2 linked regions of the Kluyveromyces lactis genome follow. The protein of the gene in region 2 binds, or shares a complex with, the protein of the main gene of each other region. Links are inferred from orthologs where the notes say so. Each region holds a gene or a part of one and is shown on either strand. Other genes may lie near its edges.

What was found.
Region 1: IES5 (region 2) and IES1 share a complex: the UniProt entries of both Saccharomyces cerevisiae proteins name them as parts of the chromatin-remodeling INO80 complex. The link is inferred for Kluyveromyces lactis from reciprocal best matches to the Saccharomyces cerevisiae genes IES5 and IES1.

The regions. Positions count from the first base shown.
Region 1 is NC_006040.1:651,386-655,539, reverse strand, and holds IES1 (Ies1p), read right to left. Parts: upstream 2,751-4,154; coding exon 681-2,750; downstream 1-680. Other genes in the region: KLLA0_D07612g (uncharacterized protein), read left to right, coding at 1-631; KLLA0_D07579g (uncharacterized protein), read right to left, coding at 3,329-3,622; KLLA0_D07568g (FAD-dependent oxidoreductase), read right to left, coding at 3,802-4,154. UniProt on the Saccharomyces cerevisiae protein: Probably involved in transcription regulation via its interaction with the INO80 complex, a chromatin-remodeling complex.
Region 2 is NC_006041.1:1,788,033-1,790,526, reverse strand, and holds IES5 (Ies5p), read right to left. Parts: upstream 1,193-2,494; coding exon 839-1,192; downstream 1-838. Other genes in the region: TORC2 complex subunit TSC11, read left to right, coding at 1-819; KLLA0_E20087g (uncharacterized protein), read left to right, coding at 1,457-1,831; MET6 (5-methyltetrahydropteroyltriglutamate-homocysteine S-methyltransferase), read left to right, coding at 2,215-2,494.

The sequences.
Region 1 (4,154 bases), on a different chromosome or scaffold from region 2:
AACAAGAGTCGTGGAACCCAGAAGTGTACAGTTAGATGATAAACTTCTATTGAAACTACTACGAAGAAACGACAATGCCGTCAGTGATTCATCACAATCGAGCAATAATCCACTACCGCGTGTGTTACCGAGCTTAAACATTGAACAGAGAAAGAAATATCTGGATATTACACTAAATGATGTTACAGTCACATGTGAAAAGGATATGATCCTGCTACGTAAAGGTAGTTTCACCGCCTCTTTCAGAATAGCAGTAGAAAACGAGAGTATTCGTTCCATGGCTATTGACTTGAATGCGTTTGAAGTTGAGTTACAGCCTATAATTCAATATGCCGAAGATACTCAGAACGTGAATGTTGCTATGATGGCTGTCGTACAATTTCTTAGGATAAAGGAACTTCACGAGCAAATGATATCAAAGATCGTCGAGGCAAGTAAATTCATTAGGGCATCTAACAATACCATAACTCTTAATGATTTAGAGGTTTCTTTTCACTGTTACTGGAATTTACCATCGCCATACCCAGAAACGTTGATACTGACCAACAAAGTACAGAAAATTTTGGATTTCCTTATATACCAGTATGGAATTCAATTAGGAGTCATTAAATATGGATCTACAATTATTTAATTACAATGTCATTATTAGTGTTACTATCGTTCGCAGAAGTTGGAACTATTCAGCTGTCATGGAAGGCAGTTCCGTTCCTTTCGTTTTCCACTTTTTCAGTTGGATCTGCCGCCAGAGTTTCTGCAGTGGATTCAGCCATTACTTTTGGTTCAGTCGTTGCTTCTTGGACAGCAGAGCTGTTTTCTTCTTCAGGGTTGGGCACTCCGCGTTTCTCTCTTAGCCTTTTGAGCATTGTTCTTTTTGAATGGCGTAGCACTCCTAACATGTCTGTCTCATATCCTAAAATGCCGTCACTGAACTTCTTTCTCTTTTTCCCCCGGATACCAATAATAGTTGCAAGAGGAACATCTTCGAATTCGTCAAATAACTTAACTAAGCCTAACTCATGGTTTTTCTTGTTGGTGATTTTATGGGCTTCAATCAATTTAGTTCTCAATTGAGTCTGAGTCAAATCATCTCTAATTTTAAAATTTTTATCAAGATCAATTTTTTGCTGTACTCGCTCATCTTTATCTTGTTGAATCTTAGCCCTTATTGCAGCTTTACTTTCAGAGTTATTGTTGTTTTCTTCCGAATTATTTTTAGAACCTGCTGCATTCGACTGTCTCTTCTTTCGCTGTGTATCTTGTTGGATTATCACCGGTTGTGACTTCCCTCCTTTTTCCTTTGATGTAGCTCGTGACTGCTTGGGCTTTGGTGGTGGAGGAGCCGGTACCGGTTCTTCTAGTGCTGCTTCTGGATCCAACGGTTCATCATCGGGGCCTGTAGGAGGAGTTTCCATCGTCTGTTGGACAATCGTCCTCTCTGCTCCTGTTTGATTCAAAAAGCTTATTCTCTTTTCCAATTGCTCTTCTCCGTATGTTACCTCTACTGGAGTGTCAATATCATGTTCTAAATGAGACGCAGTCAATAAGAACGTTCCGTTTGGTTCGACTTGGAAGAGAGGTTTCGAAGACTGTAACGATTCCGGTGTGAGGTTCGTCTCCATATGGATATACATCAACCACAAGAAAAGATTGACTCGTAGCTGTGGAGAATAATTATTATCATCAAATAATTGGTAAAGAGAGGTCTTGGGCTTACAATTAGGAATTATAATATTCCAATCTAGTATGGCATGTTGTTCGCAAAAAGCAAATATCAAAGATACTGGATTTACCCATTCGCTAGGATTACGGGGGTAATCTGCTGCGTACCATTTATGAAACTCTATTGGAGTGTCGGACCCAAGTGGGATAGTTTTGAGGATCGACTTAATCCTTGGAGTATCTTGTAATGATTTAGGATCTGAACTATAGTGCTGTAGACATGGAATTGAATGGAAGGTACGCAGCTGGGAAGTCATTTCGAGAAAGAAATTTACAGTCGTATTCAATCTTCCCATATTCACCAACAATGATAATATGCACGTAGAAAACGCTACATGATGATCAAAAAGTAGTTTATCCCGTAATACTTTGGAACATTTACTTGAAGAAGCGATAGTTAAAATGTATATCTGAGAAAAAGTTAATTTTTCGGTTTTGATGAAAGTTCTTGCATTATAGTCCACATCCGTGACGTTCACCACTTTACCTTCCTCTGGTGTGTATTCCAAGGGAAAGAAATCTTGGAACGGATTACTAAATATTTGTCTTGTGTCAGATAGAAGGTTCGAAAGGAACTCATATTGAATGTCCTTACGAGTGAAAGGTTCACCGTCAGATTTCTTTAAATGGCGAGTGTATCGGCTTGGTTCTTTTGCCTTAGGTTTTGGTCTCAGGGTAGTTGTCATAAAGTTCATAGCATGAGAATGTTTGGATTTCCTCTCATTCCCTGGGTATTGAACCAGCTCCATTGGTGGCGGAGGAGGTATTACGGAATGCTGTGAATCAGATGGCAATGCTGAATTAGGAGAATCTGCGGACACCGTTGATTCCTTCTCATAATATTTATTTTCGTCATTAGAAGAATCTGGCATGGAAATTGCAGCTGATTGAGAAGGTTCTGACTGAGTAGAATCCGAGTCTCTGTCTTCCTCTTCGTTACCATCTGGTCGCGGCTGTGAAAGCACAGGCGGCTCTGGAGTAACTTGTATCTGATAAGTATCGTGAATGGGATCATACACCCGCTTTGCCATTGTTGAAATCTTTTAGAGCTGATCAATAATGCAAATGTAAGAAAAGGTAATCTTAAATTGAATTGGAAAATTTCTAGGTGTTATAAGTTTGTAATTTGGTACTAGCAGTTCATAAAAGATAGTAACAATTGCTTTCCGCTCTGTTATTCAATAAAAAGTTGTCTGTCTCCTAATTAGAAAAACAGAGAACGCAGATACCCAATTAGATCTCCAATTAGGGGTACTATATATGGAACCAATAATGAATTTCTTCAAATTTATACGTTCTCTAATGTTTTAAGTCTGGCTTTTCCACCTTCTTTATATCAGAAAACTTCTGTTTTACTGTTTAAGTTTACTGGACGTTATTACCTTTTGGTTGATTCTCTTTGATAGTCAACGTAAACTACAAGTTACCCGGATTTATAATTGGTTGCCTATATCCAGTGTGAATAAAGGTTGATATCATGTATGAATACTAATACTATCTTTTGACTATGTAGCAGCCTCTAAACATACACTATTCTGGTGTATAAGCAGCCAATTGCTCCCAGAAAACCAACGCCGGTCTAAAATAGTTGCTAATGGAGGTACATTTTTCAATATAACTGAACTTCCCAATCTTCGAAAGGTGGATCAACCTCGAAGGTCGATTCACAGTAAGACCTAATGTAGTCTGTTGCTCGTTTCTCGGCATGTTTGACGTTGATAACTTTCCCTTGTTCATCTATTTCCAACACATTCATGAATATGGCGTAAGCTTGCTCAATTGCACTGGGTTCCTCACCATATAACGAAATGTAATCTACACCCTTCAACATATAATGAGTTCCACTTACCATAAAATACGTAAACGTCCTGACGGCACCACTCACTTCGTTACTGAGATGCATACTTTTTTTACTTAGTAACAACCTCCGTTGTACAATCCCTTCATTCGAATGAAGTGTAATCGTTATTGATACTTTCAAATAAAGTTAACTTAAAATGCTGCGTGGTCTTTATTTACAGAATTATTTACTTTAATGTGAAATGTCCAGTAGGTAGTCTTTAATTTCGATGCAAGCGCACATCATAATTTTGAAGTGGAGAAGACGTTGTTGTACAATTTTTGAATGTGGTAGGCAACACCCATCGAGGTCTCGAATCCCATCCCACCAAGACCATAAGCATGAATAACTGGCATTTGTTCTCCATCAGGACTCTTATTGAACTCGAGTTCTACACGCGAACCTCCTACTCTTAGCGGTCTGAAACCAACGTTGACGTTCTTGATTTCGAAGTTTTCAAGCAATTCAGGGAAAAGTTTCTTACCTCTTCCAATGAGCTTCTCAGTATCTGTATCACGAGGCATTACACTATAATCACCAGGTTGTTTGGTACCACCAAGAATATAATATGCCTTCTTGCCATTCTTTCCAGGTC
Region 2 (2,494 bases):
AGTTGTATGTGGGCTTGTGGATTCATTGGTGCAACCGATTACGGTATCAATCTACTTGATAAGTATTCATTTGTGCAGGATATCGTTGAATTGGCCAACGAAAGTCAATATACAAGTATTAAGAACACTGCATTTTACGTATTGGGACTAGTTTCATATACCATGGAGGGGCGGGAAATGCTTGAAGAAGTCGGCTGGGAATCAATAATGGACACTCGAGGTATGCCAATTGGTGTATGTGTCCCAAAAAATGCCGATACATTGTTGCATTGGTCTGACCTTGGGCCTATCAAAATACCACCAGGAGACATTCAGATTGAATGGGATGAAGTGAATGAACACAATCAGAACGCGGCGTCTATATGTAACAATGAACTGAATTCGAACATTATAGTTGGGGACCATGAGATCCCTTTAGACAACTTATTGGAATGGGAAAGATCCGAGACGTCTGTGAATCCCGACCAGCAGGAAGAGGACAAACAAGAATTGGAACGAGCGATCCGAGAGATATCCCAAACAAATGAGTCGAAACTGCCAGATGTGTTTGAAGATGACAAGATCAACAATAGGATCCTAAGGATAGTAAGCGATATGGGCAACAATATCCTTCTGAATGGTGCGATCAAAGAGATAACTGCTCTCCAGTCCAAGTATGGGCCTAGTAGATTCCAAAGCCCAGAAATGTTTGAACAAGTTTATGAATTATTGGGAGAGTACCGATTCAAACCCTCAGTTCGAAAATTTTTGTTGGAACTGTTCATCAACACACGAGCCGTTGAGAACATGATACGGAACGAGAGGAGAAGAAAAAGATAATTCAGGACAAGCCAAACTTTCATTCAGAACCATCCTTATATAGTAATGGAGTCATCTTAAATAATTCATAAGATTCTTGTAAAGCTTCTGGGATCTCGATTTCATCCAAGGGCAACGAGTTCACTTCTTCTAAACTCTTCAAAAGTGGTACCAGAGCATCCCAATCTTTAAACTTCTGATAATCTGGCTGTTGGAAGATGGGGTATCCATTTAAATTGATGTGAATAGGCTCACCTAATGATTCTAATACCTGGCAGACACTTGTAATCTTGCGAAGCAAGATACTGTAATCTTTCCTAAGAGAAACGTCTTGTTTCAGCAATTCTTCTCTTCTATTAAGAAGCTTCTTGTGCTCTACTTCCAAAGTCGGCATATTGGATGTTTGGTGGTAATAGCACTGAAACTGGAGAAAATCGTCTCACCTCGTAAATAGTTGTTCGAAGTTAAGAAGAAGAGTGATAATTGCTGGCTTAAATTTCTGCTGAAAGAGAGTTCCAATCGAGAGAGACAGTCTACTACTTCTGTAGGTCACGTGAAAATACATGTGACTTGGAAATGCTGTTCAGTTTGGAGCTCTTTCAATCAATCCGGGTAAGTATCACGAAGTCATCGTCACCATGTGAAAGAAAGGAGGAGGATGGTGTGGAAAAAAAAGGATCAAAATTGCTTTGGAAAAGTGCATAAAAACGCCACAACAAGCACAACCACCGCCCCAACCACACCCTTACAGACCAAATTGAGCCACATTGCAGTCCGAACCATTCCCCGTGACCGGTTAGCCATGACTACGGCACAGCACGTGACAGTTACCATTTGCCCAACCTACGTCGGTCTTATACCACACTATTTACGTCAAAACACCGTGCAGGAAACCATGTGGAAACCATTAGGCAAACCACATGTGAAATGCTGTGCGATTCGTGGGAAGTGTTATTTTGACGACATGTGCTTTTCTATGGTATCTGAGAGAGCCCCATCTCTGCAGAAAGAATCCTTTGGTGAATTGTGGTGAAAAGTTTTGTTCTGTTACGTTCCGATGAGCTCAAGTCAAAAGTAAGTAGTAGTAGCAGCAGTAGTAATAGTGGCAGTTTTGTAGTTGAGCAGATTTTTTCGTGGGAACGACTAGAGCAGCCGAAGGTAATTAAGACTCATCGTTTAAACGATGTTTGTTGGATCAGAAACTTCAGTCCAAAGAGGATCTGAAAAAAAATGTATATAAGCAGTCGACTCTTGATGTAATTTGAGGAGTGACAATTGTTCATCATTACAATAATAAAAGGAATTATGTGTACTTTGTTTAAATACAGATTTATTTCCTTTATCATTCAGTTTGAGTTTAATATCTTAAGCCAAACAAACCAATCACTAATCATACATTAGTTTGTCAATAACAAAATGGTTCAATCATACGTCTTAGGGTTCCCAAGAATTGGGCCAAACAGAGAATTGAAGAAGGCTACCGAAGGGTACTGGAACGGTAAGGTCTCTGCTGAACAATTACAACAAGTTGCTAAGGACATCAAGGCCTCTAACTGGAAGTTGCAAAAGGATGCTGGTGTCAATGTCATTGCTTCCAACGATTTCTCTTTCTACGATCAAGTCTTGGATCTTTCTCTATTGTTCAACGTTATCCCACAACGTTACTCTAAGTATGAATTGTCTCCATTGGACACTT